Linked DNA regions of Macaca fascicularis. The protein of the gene in region 1 binds, or shares a complex with, the protein of each later gene. Links are inferred from orthologs where the notes say so. Each region holds a gene or a part of one and is shown on either strand. Other genes may lie near its edges.

The links.
Region 2: the proteins of CCNA2 (region 1) and CDC6 are in contact, whole or in part, in a crystal structure (PDB 2CCH), measured with the Homo sapiens proteins. The link is inferred for Macaca fascicularis from reciprocal best matches to the Homo sapiens genes CCNA2 and CDC6. Residues at the interface, in NP_001228.2 of Homo sapiens: Met210, Ile213, Leu214, Trp217, Glu220, Val221, Glu224, Tyr225, Arg250, Leu253, Gln254, Glu277, Tyr280, Ile281, Thr282, Asp283, Thr285; in NP_001245.1 of Homo sapiens: His89, Thr90, Leu91, Lys92, Gly93, Arg94, Arg95, Leu96, Val97, Phe98, Asp99, Asn100.
Region 3: the proteins of CCNA2 (region 1) and CDKN1B are in contact, whole or in part, in a crystal structure (PDB 1JSU), measured with the Homo sapiens proteins. The link is inferred for Macaca fascicularis from reciprocal best matches to the Homo sapiens genes CCNA2 and CDKN1B. Residues at the interface, in NP_001228.2 of Homo sapiens: Met210, Ile213, Leu214, Asp216, Trp217, Glu220, Val221, Glu224, Met246, Arg250, Gly251, Lys252, Leu253, Gln254, Leu255, Tyr280, Ile281, Thr282, Asp283, Thr285, Tyr286, Thr287, Gln290, Arg293, Met294, His296, Leu297, Lys300; in NP_004055.1 of Homo sapiens: Lys25, Pro26, Ser27, Ala28, Cys29, Arg30, Asn31, Leu32, Phe33, Gly34, Val36, His38, Leu41, Thr42, Asp44, Leu45, Glu46, His48, Cys49, Asp51.

What each region holds. Positions count from the first base shown.
Region 1 is NC_088379.1:126,896,875-126,902,049, forward strand, and holds the start of CCNA2 (cyclin-A2), read right to left. Parts: upstream 3,652-5,175; 5' UTR 3,414-3,651; coding exon 3,201-3,413; intron 2,427-3,200; coding exon 2,183-2,426; intron 874-2,182; coding exon 761-873; intron 568-760; coding exon 344-567; intron 1-343. UniProt on the Homo sapiens protein: Cyclin which controls both the G1/S and the G2/M transition phases of the cell cycle. Functions through the formation of specific serine/threonine protein kinase holoenzyme complexes with the cyclin-dependent protein kinases CDK1 or CDK2.
Region 2 is NC_088390.1:61,371,873-61,377,005, reverse strand, and holds the start of CDC6 (cell division control protein 6 homolog), read right to left. Parts: upstream 3,350-5,133; 5' UTR 3,131-3,349; intron 1,982-3,130; exon of another isoform or gene 1,871-1,981; intron 1,477-1,870; 5' UTR 1,464-1,476; coding exon 1,286-1,463; intron 1-1,285. UniProt on the Homo sapiens protein: Involved in the initiation of DNA replication. Also participates in checkpoint controls that ensure DNA replication is completed before mitosis is initiated.
Region 3 is NC_088385.1:15,479,305-15,484,562, reverse strand, and holds the start of CDKN1B (cyclin-dependent kinase inhibitor 1B), read right to left. Parts: upstream 3,350-5,258; 5' UTR 2,873-3,349; coding exon 2,374-2,872; intron 1,864-2,373; coding exon 1,742-1,863; 3' UTR 1,734-1,741; intron 1-1,733. UniProt on the Homo sapiens protein: Important regulator of cell cycle progression. Inhibits the kinase activity of CDK2 bound to cyclin A, but has little inhibitory activity on CDK2 bound to SPDYA. Involved in G1 arrest. Potent inhibitor of cyclin E- and cyclin A-CDK2 complexes.

The DNA of each region.
Region 1 (5,175 bases):
TCCCAAATTGCTGGGATTATAGGCGCAAGCCACCGCACCCAGCCTTTACTTCTTAATAAAAGAGACACTGCTTATATGCCAGAAAGTAATATTGGAAGGAAAATGTTTTAAAATTTCTAACCTAGTGTACTATATCGTCTTCAAGGAATCCAGTTTGGGGAAAAACAGTGTTATAGATTAGAACACAGTTTCATCCTCCACTTCCCCAACCCCACCACATTGCCATCCCTGAAGTAGTCACTGACTCTCTGCCTGGTGTATGTTAAAAGGTCACCATTAAAAATCAATTTCTTCCCTAGACAAAAGATCGTGATCACTTTTAAACAAACCAAGGTAGACTTACGAGGCTAACAGCATAGCAGCAGTGCCCACAAGCTGAAGCTTTCCTCTCAGCACTGACATGGAAGAAAGGAACCTATCAATGTAGTTCACAGCCAAATGCAGGGTCTCATTCTGTAGTTTATATTCTTCTCCTACTTCAACTAACCAGTCCACGAGGATAGCTCTCATACTGTTAGTGATGTCTGGCTGTTTCTTCATGTAACCCACTTTAGGTTTACATTTAACCTATTGAGAAAAGTATTTAGTAGTGTTAAAATTGCAATTAGGTTATTTTACAATTAAGAGAGGCTACATGCTATAAACTTAACTGTAGCATTAGAATAATTCATTAGTTTAAAAATTTAAACATTATCCTCTCAATTTCATTTAGCCACATTTAACAAATACATTACACAAACTGGATTCAGAGAACCTTTACCTCCATTTCCCTAAGGTATGTGTGAATATCCTCATGGTAGTCTGGTACTTCATTAACACTCACTGGCTTTTCATCTTCTAATACAATTGACATGTCCATAGTATGTGGTGACTCTGGGACAATTAAAAAGATATGATTAAATTAATTGTTTGTCTACTTAGTTTAATAGCTAAAAATGACTGCCCTTGTAAGGAATTTCATATTAACAAAGCACTTATTTCATCAAACTAAAAAGAGCTTCTCATGACGAAAAAGGTAGAATATTTTACCTTAGTCTCAGTATCTCTGTACATATAGCTTTGGAATGATTTTAGTTAATGAAGGGGGAAAGAAAACCATATTAGTAGGCCCCTAACAGGAAAACGAGAATCAGGTATTATCTTAAAGTATCCATCTTCCACAACAGAAAGGAGCAGATGGCATGGTGGTTCTGTTAGGACAGAACATTTAAAATCCAAGTTTTGAGATAATATCTAAGATTTGCCCTAAGAGAGACTGCAGATCCCAGAGTCTGACATATACAAAGCCCAATTAGGCGATAGCTAGAATCAGTTAAATGGCCTCCATTAACAAGTGTTATTAAGAAATTAGGTTTGTTATGGGCAAATGGATTAACACTATAAATTTATTTTTTGTAGTATAAATTATCTTTTGAAGCAAAGAGTATCATCCATTATTCTTTTCGCTTCAAAGATCACCTTGAGATTAAACATTTTCTGCAAAATTTTGATAAAAACACACAAATTATTATTTCCAAAGGACTTTTCCTGCTCACCCCTCCTTCCCCACGATCTATACAACTAAAACTAAAATGAGACTGGATTTAGTGAGCTGTCCAGTGACTCGATATCCCTAGGGCAAAGAAACAGTACAAACTGCAAAGAGCTGTTTGCAGCAGCTACTTTAATACATGGGTAAGAGTAAACAGCCATGGTACAACTGTTTACTTGTAGGAGGAAAAGTGTCACCTTCTGGTATCAGATGATAATCCAGACTGGTTTTATAGAAACAAAATTATAAAACTGGAAGAGATGTTATGTAATCACAATATTTAAGACTGCATCTTCAAATAGCACTCTCTAAGTGATATATAAGTGAGTTAAATAAAACTGAAATCTATTCTCCCAACCAAGAACACATTTATGGGATCAGATTAAAATAAGCATTTAAGATCTAATTATAATTAGACTGATGTGACTGGCAGTGAACCTGAAAGAGCACTAGGTTAGGATCCTTTTGTACATCACCAGGTCGAGTGTTAGCTGTGAGATCTGAGATAAGTCACATCCTTTCTAAGCCTTGTTACATTAAACCTAACTCACTGTAATCAAAATGACTACATAAGACATCTTAAAATGCAAATCATTAATATCTAATAATTATAATTACCGTAAATTCATATAGATTTTCCTTAAAACTTACCAAAACTACCATCCATTGGATAATCAAGAGGGACCAATGGTTTTCTGGGTCCAGGTAAACTAATGGCTGAATTAAAAGCCAGGGCATCTTCACGCTCCGTTTTTTGAGATTCAGCTGGCTTCTTCTGAGTCTCTTTTTCTGCTTCATCCACATGAATGGTGAACGCAGGCTGTTTACTGTTTGCTTTCCAAGGAGGAACGGTGACATGCTCATCATTTACAGGAAGATCCTTAAGGGGTGCAACCTAAACAAAAATAAATAACTGGCTTTGAGCCTACTAAATAGTTTTGCATTCTTTCTCTTATGGGTGTTGGCCTTTGCTTTTTCTCCCAAATACTCTATCAGGAATTAAACTTTCTGGGACAAACAATAGTTTGAGTATTCAAAAGAGAAGGGATGTTCCCATTTGTCACAGGCATTCCCACAAAGGCTATCAATAGATAACACTAGGTGGAATTATGCAAAACTAATCAGGGCCACAAGAAGGGTCGGGTGGCAAGTCAATACATGACAAGTTTAGGAAAGACATGGCAAAAAAGTGTTGGTTCACCACTGTCGCCCGAGGGTGGAGCAACAGAGCAAATCCGGCTAAAATGGCGGAATTTGCCAAAAGCAAAGTTATTTCGTACACCCTTTTCTAAAGTAGAGGTTATCTCTTAACCATGAGGAGGAGGGGGGTCAGAGTCCTACAGTAGTGCCTGGGGTTTAAAAGTGGAGAGAAAGGCGCGGAGCTGAGCGAAGACTACACGTTTTAGAGCTTGGTTTGACCCCATTATGTACAGGCAGATGCCACCTATAGAGAGCAGACAGGCAGCATACACAGTGTTGGCGGGGTCCTGATGCTAATAATGGGAGAATTCCTATTGTGGCATCCCACACACCAGCACCAAGTGGACTCCAGACTCTGGCCCCCTTCCAAAAGCCCAGGACATGCCTTCTCGCCACTCTTCTCTGCCTGCTAAGCCAGTGCCAAACCCTGCTCGACCCACCCTCCTGCAGACATCCCGCATCCCTTTACCCGTCGCGTCTTCGGCCTCTGCTGCTGCGCTAGACCCCGCGGGTTCCCGGCCTTCAGTACCGCCAGCGCGGCCCGGGTCCGCGGTTGCTGGACGGGCGCTGCCTTTTCCGGGTTGATATTCTCCTGGTCCTCTTGGAGCGCAGTCTGCTGCAATGCTAGTAGCGCTGAGCCCGCCTCGCGGGTCGCAGGCCCCGGCGCGGAGTTGCCCAACATCACTGCTCCCGGGAGTGGACGGCGGGATCAGCCTGCGGCGCCAAGCAGCGTGCACTCTGCCCAGCCCACCCGGCCAAAGAACAGTCGTAGCCGCCGGTCGCAGCCCAGGCCAGCCTACCCGCCCGCCCGCTCACCCAGCTCGAGACCACGCAGGGTCGAGGAGGTTGCGAAAGGCGCAGGAAGGCACGGCCGGGCGTGGCGGGCCAAAGACACCCCGAGATGTAGCGAGCAGCCCGCCGGAGCGGCGGCTGTTCTTGCAGTTCAAGTATCCCGCGACTATTGAAATGGACCAATGAAAGCGCTCGCGGCCTTGACGTCATTCGAGGCGACAGGGTCGCAAGCGAATGAAGGAAGCACCAAAGGACTCTGAGCAGGGGCGGGGCAGGAGGGAGAAACGAACTGGGGCTGGGGCGGGAGAAAACGCCTGCGCGGGTCGGGGAGAGCTAGGGGTACTCAGGGCCCGAGCTTCCGATTACTTTGAGCCACCTAGAGAGCGAGGCGGTCCAAAGGCTGACTCTAAGCCTTTTAGGGAATTAAGCGGAATTAAACTTTGGCGACTATCATTTGGGCTGCCCAGCCTTTAGCTCTGGGACCTCTAGTTAGCTCAAGTGACTTTTTCCCAAGGTCTAAAATCTGGACCACGTTTTTCAGTATCTCCGATTCTCCGTTTTCTTATTTGTTAATAGGGACTAATAACTACAGTCAAACGGTTATTAGGATTAAATAATGTGCATAAATTAACACGGAGCTCACATAGTAAGTAATACAGTACTCAAGTGTCAGACTGTAGTAATATCTTAACATTTAGGCATTTATTCATAGTAACCAGAAATTGTGTTTTATGCTTTTTATTTTTCCTAATGAAGATGCAATTAAGTGCCACCTTGAACTACTGTTGATATATATATAATAAATATACAATGCATTACAAAATATTCAAATAGAGTCATTAATTTTTATCTATTTTTCCCCAAGCTGTGGCAGCCAACAAAAAATACAATGACATTCTAGTGACCTAGATAAATTATGTTCCTTTCAGAAGTAAAGTTTCTTTAAATATAGTAAAAACAATATGATCTTATTAAAATAAAATTCTCTTAACTATATATGTGCCTGTAACAAATTTTAATATTTATATACAAAGCTTGCACGTACCTAGTAAGTATAATAGCATATCATTAAGAAGCATTGTTTTCTAAAAAATTAGTGAGTCTGCCCTTCTTGAAACAAAGCTTATTTTCCATTATCTTTATGCCATTTTAAGACGTTTCAATATTTCTTTGAAATTAATAAATATGAATTAAGATTAATGTACAAAACTTCTGTAGCCTTAATGTCATATATGATAAAAAGAGATCATACTGGTATAGGAAAATCTAAGATGGCATCACTATTTCTGCACTCTTCACTTGTAGCATGCTTGAATAGCTCCACTGGTTACAGCATGTCTAGTTAAGATCCCCCGACTCTGTGTAAGCTCTTATTTCCCTGACTACAATTTATAGCACTGAGCCAAGTCCAGCATTTCCACAAACTGCAGCAGAGTCATAAAACATCACCAAGCAAAAGGAAAATCAGTTGCAAATCAATCCTATCTCCTAGAAAAAATAATTGGTAGGTTACTTCCACTAGCTGGCAACATACATAGTAACCAGGACACAAAGCAAGTACCAGTACTTGGGTTCTGGTCCCAGCTTTATAAAGTACTAGCATGTCCTCTTAATCGCAAAATTTCACTGAGAATCAGTTTTCTTATATGATT
Region 2 (5,133 bases), on another chromosome or scaffold:
ATATTGGCCACCAGATGGCACCACTGATCTTACTACAGTAGTGCCCTTATCCACCGTTCTAGTTACCCTCAGTCTGAAAATACTAAATGGAAAATTCCAGAAATAAACAATTGACAAGTTTTAAATTGCATGCAGTTTAGTACCATGATGAAATCCCACACCATCCTACCAGAGACATGAATCATCCCTTCAGCCAGCATATCCACACTGTATATGCTATCTACCCACTAGTCACTTAGTAGCTGACTTGGTTATCAGATCAAAAACACAGTATACGTAGGGTTTGGTACTATCCTCAATTGCAGGCATCCACTGGGGGTCTTGGAATGTATCCCCCATAGATAAGTGAGGACTACTGCATTTAGTAGAAACCAAACGGGTTTTACCAGGATGAAATTGTAAGGCTGTTTTGAAACAGGTTTTCTCAATGTTGGCACCACTGACATCTTGAACCAAATGATTCTTCATTGTCAAGGAGCTGTCCTGTGCATTGTAATGTTTAGCAGCATCCCTGGCCTCTACCCACTATGCCAGTAGCAACACCCAGCTGTAACAACCAAACTTGTCTCCAGAAACAACCAAATCACCCCTCCATTTAAAAACAAATGTTCCAAAACAAGAAAGAATTACCAACCACTGTTCTAAAGGACGGAAAATATCCAGCATGTCACCTTTTTGTTTTAATTTCACAAATATTGAGGTTAAATTTCATAATACCGTGTAACTACAAGGTAACTTAAAACACTGACAGAACTAAGTTCAGTATTAAGGAATTGAAGATCAGACCTATTAAGTAGTTCAGAAAGTGACCTCAGTAAGTGGCTTAACTCTGGAGTTTGGTAAGCACTTAGCAACCATTCTGAAAATAACTAAAATGAAGAGTAGTCTTAGGGTCAGGAGCGGTAGCTCACGCCTGTAATCCCAGCACTCCGAGGCAGGTGGATCACCTGAGATCAGGAGGTCAGAGACCAGATTGGCCAACATAGCGAAACCCTGTCTCTACTAAAAAAAAAAAAAATTAGCCAGGCGTGGTGGTGGGCGCCTGTAATCCCAGCTACTTGGGAGGCTGAGGCAGGAGAATCGCTTGAACCTGGGAGGCAGAGGTTGCAGGGAGCTGAGATCGCACCATTGCACTCCAGGATGGGAGATGGAGCAAGACTGTCTCAAAAAAAGAAAAAAAAAAGTCTTAACTGAACTTAGAAAGCTCCTTCAAAGGACACACATCTTACTGAGAAAAGAAAGGTCACGAGCTGCTAGTGAAAAAGTGATATAATGGATGGTTTACCCAGACGTTTCCTGGGGCTGAGAGGCAGGGCTTTTACACGAGGAGAACAGGTTACAGCTTGAACATTTGTCGGTTCTGGTTTGGCATCACTTGAGTTTTTAGTTTTGTTCAATGCCCGAGACAGCTTCTTTTTTGGAAAACTGATTGTAGCCTGTGCCTGGGATCGGGTTTGAGGCATGATGGCAGCACAGCTAGATTAAAAAAAAATAACAGGACAACTAGTCAATATGTGAAAGTGAAGAGAATAAATAAATTTATACTGATGATTAACACTTATTTCTTAAGTAAATTATGTTATCACAATATTTTAGCATTCAGTTTTGCTTCACATCCAAATCTATGCAAGAACAACTGACATTTGTTGTCTACCTACTACGTGGAAGCCGCTGTTATAAACACTTTAGGTACCAATTCGTTTAACAACTATCTTAAAGAGGTAGGTACTACTATTAGCCTTTATTTTACACATGAGAAAACTGAGATAAACAGTGGCCCAAAGTCACAGAAAAACAGGTATGTAACCCCAGGCATTCTGGCGCCAGAGCCCAAGTTCTTAACCAACTGAGCGATGCAATAAGAAGTTACCTGAAATAGGCCGGGCGTGGTGGCTCACGCCTGTAATCCCAGCACTTTGGGAGGCCGAGGCGGGCGAATCACCTGAGGTCAGGAGTTCGAGCGAGACCAGCCTGGCCAACATGGTGAAACCCCGTCTCTAGTAAAAATACAAAAATTACGGCTGGCTGCGGTGGCTCACGCCTGTAATCCCAGCACTTTGGGAGGCCGAGGCGGGTGGATCACGAGGTCAGGAGATCGAGACCATCCTGGCTAACACGGTGAAATCCCTTCTCTACTAAAAATGCAAAAAATTAGCCGGGCGTGGTGGCGGGCGCCTGTAGTACCAGCTACTCGGGAGGCTGAGGCAGGAGAATGGCGTGAACCCAGGAGGCAGAGCTTGCAGTGAGCCGAGATCGTGCCACTGCACTCCAGCCTGGGCGACAGGGCGAGACTCCGTCTCAAAAAAAAAAATTAGCCGGGCGTGGTGGCGGGCGCCTCTAGTATCAGCTATTCGAGAGGCTGAGGCAGGAGTATCGCTTGAACCCGGGAGGCGGAGGTTGCAGTCAGTGAGCGGTTGCAGTCAGTGAGCGGAGATCGCGCCACTGCATTCCAGCCTGGGCGACGAGAGGGAGACCCCGTCTCAAAAAAACAAAACAGGCCGGGCGCGGTGGCTCAAGCCTGTAATCCCAGCACTTTGGGAGGCCGAGACGGGCGGATCACGAGGTCAGGAGATCGAGACCATCCTGGTTAACATGGTGAAACCCCGTCTCTACTAAAAAAAAAAATACAAAAAACTAGCCGGGCGAGGTGGCGGACGCCTGTAGTCCCAGCTACTAGGGAGGCTGAGGCAGGAGAATGGCGTGAACCCGGGAGGCGGAGCTTGCAGTGAGCTGAGATCCGGCCACTGCACTCCAGCCTGGGTGACAGCGCGAGACTCCGTCTCAAAAAAAAAAAAAAAAAAAAAAAAACAGTTACATGAATTGATTTATATAGAACTTCTAATTCCCTCTCTCCAGGAACGCGGGGTGTCTTTATCACCAGTTCAGCCCAGCATCCGCCACATTTAGTCTCTTCTCTCCCAAGTCCTCACACTACAGTTCAGTCTTCCCTCAGTTCTCTCCGCCTCTGCACTCAGTCCTCATTCTAGGCAGCTCTCAACGCACCCCAGAATATTTCCTTCCTACAACTTTCAGCTCCTTCATACCACGCACAACTGCTATAACTACCCTGAGGGCACCTGCCCTTTCCCTGATCCTGACCTCAGACCGCCAGCGAGCTCAGCTCTTTTACCTTCACTTTACCTCGGGCCTCGCCGGAACCCGCAGCCTTCACGCAACTCCGCTGCCTCACAAACCCCAGGCCTCCTCGAGCAATCCTCTCCTTCCCACCTCCTCAGTGCAGGATCCTTCTCAAGTCTCTCACACGCAGGCTCAGGGACTCACCACCACAAGCCCCTGAACAAACTGCACACCGGCAGCAGCAAAATACAGCCGCGCTCGCGCCAAATTCGAATGGCCACAGTGTTCCCACCTCCCGCCAAAGCCCGGCCTCGCTTCTGATTGGCTGTAGTCACAGGCGCCGTTCGCCTTGTGCACCGCCTCTTTTTTTGCTTCCAATCCAGTAGAAGAGTTACAGCCAATGAGAGAGCCCCAAGTCTTAGCGTCACTGTGAGGCCATGACCACTGAACGGGTGGGAGGGACTCTACATCCGGGGCCTCGGTGGAAAGACGCGCGATCGCTGCAGGGCGATTCTGGGCAAGACGGGCCGGCCCCGCCGCAAAGCACGGTGGGAGGCGTAGTCTTTGCTGCCGCGCGACTCTACTTCCGCGCTCTTCCTTCGACTGGATGTGTCAAGATGTGGTTCCCCATCTCACTGCCGAACGCACCCATTTGCATCATCCTGATGGGCTAGATTTTCAGAACTGCTACATGATACCTACCGTTTTGGGTTCTGTGCACCAGGTATGATGCTAGGCACTTTACTTAATTCTCTAATGCTCAACCTCGCAAGGTACAAAGCAAACCTGTATACAAGGTTAGAGGTCACAGCATCTTGGTGACAGCGAAAAGCCTAGGATCCAGATCTACTGATGGCTGAACTAGTGATTTTTTTGGTAAAGTTCTACACACCTATATAAAGAAAAACTATGCTTCATCATAGTATCTCTTGATTCGTGCTTCAAAGATGAGAAACAGCCAAATCTTTGCTTTTATTTCGTTCAACGTAAGAATATTATGTTCTGTGCACATTCTTACCATTAATCCACACATCGTGGGGAGAGAATCATGACCCCTTAATTTTAAAATCTTTTATGGCGAAACACCAGGGTTTCAGGGCCAGGGAAGACAGCTATATAGAAGAGGCAAGCTGAGTTTTTAATGAAAAATATAAATTAGCGCAGTAATTTGGAGGCCAGCTTCCAAAGCCAATAACTCATCTAAGCCTCAGGCTCCTTTCGAGGCCAGAACCCAATTCTAGGTGATGGTAAACATTTATCTTTTACCTCTCAGTAACAAATAAAATAGAGCCATAAAGCCTAGAAAGAGGAAAGCAACAATATTACGATCATCAGTTAATTGGTACCTAGTTCATGAAGAGAGGCAATATTGAGTGCTTAAGTGTATGCCAGGGACTGTGCTCAGTATTTTACCTACATCAGCTTATTAATCTTCACAAGCACCCCCACGAAGCTGGTGTTATTTCATTTTACAAATGAGGGAACTACAGTAGAGGGGAGTTGAGAAAACTTGCCCAAGGTCACACAACTAGTAAGTGGAAAAGCTAGAATTTTAACTCTGAACTCTGACAGAACATCAAACTCTTGACCACGTTATCATAGGGGGATGATTAGACAGATTCAGATTCTAAACAGGAAGAGATGGTGGAGTACATTTTGTGAAGGCTTTTTAGCAGCTGAAAACTCCAAAAGTGAAGAGAATGGGCTGTCAGGAATGGAGAAAGTTACCACACAATGGAAGCTTTTTTTCTTCTTCTTCTGAGACAGAATCTCATTCTGTCACTCATGCTGGAGTGCTCCACCTCCTGGGTTCAAGCCATTCTCCTGCCTCACCCTCCTGAGTAGCCAGGACTATAGGCACGAGCCACCACGCCTGGCTAATTTTTGTATTTTTAGTAGAGGGGGTTTCACTATGGTAGCCAGGTTGATCTCAAACTCCTGACCTCGTGATCCACCCACCTCAGCCTCCTACAGTGCTGGGATTACAGGCGTGAGCCACCGCTCCTGGACACAATGGAAGATTTTAAAAGGACTAGATGGTATTTCTGATGTCTT
Region 3 (5,258 bases), on another chromosome or scaffold:
AACACACAGGACAGCCTCCTACAACAAAGAATTATTCGGCCCAAAATGTCAGTAGTGCAGAGGTTGAGAAACCCTAAAGAATCCAGGTCAAAGACAAGTGGGAAATAAATAGGAAAATTAGGAAACTGTAATACTTAAGAGTAAAAATTTTCTAAATTTTTTAAAAATTTAGAATTTTTTTTCTCTACTCCTGTGACAGATTAAATTTTCTAAATTTGAAAAATGATTAGAAATAAAAATCATAAGGGCCTTCCAGAAGAAAATTTTATTAACATCATTTTCAAAATATTCTAATTTCTTATTCATATGCAGAAAATACTCATGAATACTTTTGAATAGGTTCTTACTAATATTTCTAGTATTCTTTGAACTAGCAATATTACTAAATGCTATAAATGCCTCTCTGCATGTCAAAACGGGGGCCAGATCAAAATCCAGGTCCGATTCTCATGGCTCATCTGATAAGCTGGGCCACAAGTCACAAACCAACAAGGGCTGCGTGTGTTAAGGTTGCTTCAGGGAAATTTTCACCTGATTTTCCCACTTCACATGGTGCTATAAAATAGAGGTTCTATAGTGCCGTTTTGTATAAGCTCTGAAAAATATAAGATATGTAAAGTCACATATACAATTTAAAGACACAACACACCTGAATCCCACCGTAATCCCTGTTGTTTTAAAATTTTTTATAAATGAGGATTTAAAAAGTTAACATCAATATTAAGATCGCCTCATATGCTAAGCTACGTGTGTGCTTTAGAAAATAAAGAGGTCAGTCTTGGTCTATAAGAAGCTAACAAACTATTAATATATGTAGTTCGATCATTATGAATAGCCAATCCATGTACATTTGGGGACTGAATTATTCAAATTAGCTATTTACAGTGATCAGATTCTTGTGCATGGAAAAATCTCCACTTCCTTTGTGCTGGGCTGACCTGCGGTCACCAGTCTTGATATTTACTACCCATTTCCCCTACAAATATCCAAATCACCCTGTTACGGCACAATTAGCATACACTGGCTGACGTGTTCCTGGATTGCTTACTGACGAGAGTTAATTTAACTTCTGCTTTGCAACTTCAGTGTTACCAGAAATTCTGTAGAAACTTTAGTAATGTTTTTTATCTTTCCATTTTGGTTTTTGCAAATACTGGTTCCTTCTCTCTCCAAACTTAGGAGCAAACAAGGAAAGTGACAGTTTATGACAATGTCAAAGAACACAACATACCACCCACTGACATCTCTAATCCCTTGCATAACCAAAGGTGAGCAATTTCTACCAAACATTCCCCCTTAAAATTGAAACTTAATAATGTACTTGCCATTTTTCCATGTATGGCTCAAAATCTGTTACTGACTCAAGCTGAACCTCTGGGAAATGAATTCTCATGAAGTGGGACTGAGGGAGTACCCCAGTTCTTGTTCGGATGGGCGAAGAACCTATTGTTCCCAACATATTTTAGTGGGACTCACAGGGAAATGACCTTCTTACCCGATGGGGCCTTGGTTACAAGTAGTTGCTCTGGTCTACTGTTTCAAGAGAAAGTATCTCTAGGCATAGAAGAATTACAGTATCCCCAACCTTCCCATTGCTACTTTTTTGACCTCACGAAAGTATAAACAAAACAAAACCCCAAAAGATTGTAATCTGCCAGCAACCAGCAAGATCAGGTATCGTGAGGTCTGATGGCCCCGGGTTTCAGTACGTGCTCCTTTAGTGATCAACCCACCTAGCTGTTTACGTTTGACGTCTTCTGAGGCCAGGCTTCTTGGGTGTCTGCTCCACAGAACCGGCATTTGGGGAACCGTCTGAAACATTTTCTTCTGTTCTGTTGGCTCTTTTGTTTTGAGTGGAAGAATCTAAGAGCAGAGGAAATTTTTAAAAAGAACACACAATCTTTATTAGAAAAAACAATGGCTGGCAGAAGTTGGCCCAATAGTCGCGGGACGAAAAACCCACTCCCTCCACCCACAATCCAGGATCCGTCATCCTCAGTAGCCTTTAAGGACACAAAATGAGGTTGTTTTCAAAAAGAAGAAAGTGCATTCTCCGCCCCAGAGCTCTCTCCCTAGCCAGGAGGCGGACCGTTGATAAACATCCCAACTTTGTCACATACCTAGGGGTTGCTAGTGGGAGGGACGGCCATGTCTTAAGTTAGGGAAATTATCGGATCTTACCATTTCCAGTTTCTGACTTAAAAGTCACAGACAAGCAGTGGGCCAGGTAGCACTGAACACCTAAGACCAATAAAGTTCGCTCTCCCAAAGCTACATCAGAATACGCCGAAAAGCAAGCTAAGGTTAGCACCCTCCAGCAGGCAAAGCGGGGCCCCAGACACAGACTTTCTGTGGTTGGGAAGGGGTCATTACCGTCGGTTGGGAAGGGGTCATTACCGTCGGTTGCAGGTCGCTTCCTTATTCCTGCGCACTGCTCCGCTAACCCGGTCTGGCTGTCCGACGGATCAGTCTTTGGGTCTACCAAATGCGTGTCCTCAGGGTTAGCCGGAGCCCCAATTAAAGGCGCCGCCGGGCGGCTCCCGCTGACATCCTGGCTCTCCTGCGCCGGCACCTTGCAGGCGCCTTTGGGGGCCCGCGGGGGTCTATAGTAGAACTCAGGCAAGCTGCCCTTCTCCACCTCTTGCCACTCGTACTTGCCCTCTAGGGGTCTGTGATTCTGAAAATCGAAATTCCACTTGCGCTGGCTCGCTTCTTCCATGTCTCTGCAGTGCTTCTCCAAGTCCCGGGTTAACTCTTCGTGGTCCACCGGGCCGAAGAGGTTCCTGCAGGCCGAAGGCTTGGGGTGCTCCGCCTGCCTGGCGTCCATCCGCTCTAGGCTAGGGCTCCCGTTAGACACTCGCACGTTTGACATCTTTCTCCCGGGTCTGCACGACCGCCTCTCTCGCACTCTCAAAAAAACAAAACAAAACAAAACCGAACAAAACAAAACGCCCCTACGCAGCCCGAACCCCTCTCGGAAGCCCAGCGACTGGCCTCGGAGCCAAAAGACACAGATCCGGACAAGCCACGGCCCGAACTCTAGGAGCGCGCAGGGGCTGCGGGGAAGCCCCGGCACGGCCGCCGAGAATCTCCGCTGATCAAATGGACCGGCGAGCGAGAGGGCGGGGAGGGGAGGGGTCCAGGCAAGCGGAGAGGGTGGCAAAGCCCGTCCGAGTCCGGGCGGGTACAAGCCCGCAGGTCCCGCAAACCCAGCCGCTCTCCAAACCTTGCCGGCGTCGGAGTCGCGGAACCGTGAGCAAGCGGGGACAGGGGAGGGGGAGAAAAACACCCCGAAAAGACGAGCCCCCTTTTTTTAGTGGCCCAATATGGCGGTGGAAGGGAGGCTGACGAAGAAGAAAATGATTGACACGGCGAGTCTATTTAAACAGAGGAGGAGATCCATTGGTTGCGGCGCCGGGAGCCGCCCCGCCGAGGCTGGCGAGCGCGGCCTTAAGGTGGCCCCGGCTCGGTTCCGCCGCCTCCCCGCGTTCCCGAGCGCGCCGCCTCCCCGAGCGCCGCCGGGAGATTGGCTGGTCGCGTGACTGCTGGAGGGGTAGTGCTGCCAACAAACCTGCTCTGGCTGGCCTCGGAGAAATTAAAATTAAGACAAACAAACTAGCCAAACGGCCGGGAACCTGGGGCGGGGCCTGGGGTTCGGGGCCCGGCGCTGCACTGGCGGGTGCGCAAAGGCGCCTAAGCCCCGACCTCCCTCCCGCTCCTCGCGGGGGAAGCCGGGGCCTGGACCAGAGGACCGCGAAGATCGCCGGCAGCTCGCTTGGAGCCGGGGTGGCGAGCTGCCCCCAGCTCGGCCCTCCCCGATGGCCCCCACCTCGCGGTCTGCGGGGGAGGCCGCGGAGCGTTTGCTGGGGGGCTGGGCGCCCCCCCTGCCGGCGTGCCTTAGCTGGGGGTGGGTGGAGGCGGTGGGCAATGGTTGGCTCAGCCTTAACCCAGAAGTTTGTGCCATCCCTGGGGAGGCTGGGGGCCTAGGAAAGAAGCCAAGGCGAACGTCTTTCTTTCAGAAATTAGCCAGGAGTAGACGCGGCACTTATCATGAACTCAAGCTCTCCCTCAATGAAAATAAGAAAGGAACTCAAGATTAAAAAAAAACTCAAGTAGTCTCTCAAGTCCCTTAATACACTTTGTAGCTGTCTCAGACACATTTAGTTTTGAAAAACGAGGGTACGCCCCTGGCCCAGGATCTTGTTTCCCAAGCACAGTTAAGGCCATGGACATTGGCTGCGTGTGGGAACTCCTCTCTTTCTACTTTTCTGTTCTTTCCCGGGATTGTAGCAGTTTCCTCTACCTGACTCCAGCCGCCAAATACAACAGCTCCTTCCTTCCTCCACCCTTCTCTCTCACCAGATTTCACTGCTCCAACAAACTCAGAACAATATTCAGATGCTAGTGAATGCTTTCAGAGGGCTGAAGAGTGAAAAGACTCCCCTCGGGGTCAAACTCCAGATGATGAAATGATTTTTAAAACCACCACATCTATGTCCTAACGTCCGATGCTAGTATTCCAGCGTTTCTCTTCTCCCTTTTGCAACTGGAAATTTCTCTCTCAGTGTGGGCTTGAGCACCGTGGTGGAAGGTAAAGTAGGACGATGAGCAGGGCTGCCCCAAGAGCTCAGTGGATCTTCAACTGCCTCCCCACCCCCATGCCCACTACCCATCATCTTGGTTTGAGCCAAAGTTAATGCATTTTACTGGAAACCAACCTTCCTTTCTAACCTTAAACAGCAGCAAAGTTTTCTTATGCACCTATGCTACAGATGAACTTCATGTGTCGCTTGTTTTCTTAGCCACATCTTGTTTGTCCACTTTGTGTGCCTACCTCATCTCATACACTCCAGAATGTGACAGCTGGAAGGGACCTTCGGGACCCTGTGGTTTAACCCTCTCCTCTTTACCACGGAGGACATTGAGACTCAGAGAGGTTTCCTGTCCAGGGACATACATTCGGTTGGTACCAGAGTCAGGACTAGATGCAGGTCTCGTAACACTCAAGTTGGTTCATTTTCTGTTCCTTTCCTTCCTAATGGTTCTCACTGGTTCAGGGTTTTATCTGGGTTTGATTGTGCTATAGTCTGCAGGTCCTGCTGTCTTACAAGTGACTCAAAATGGCTCCTTCCCAGGCCCTGGGTTGCCTGCAGATGTTTCCTTGATGTGGCCTGTGGTCACTGATATTTAAATGCAGCTGTCATGAGCCTTTGGTATCACCATCCACTAGTTCAACTAAAATATAGGCTCTAGAAGGA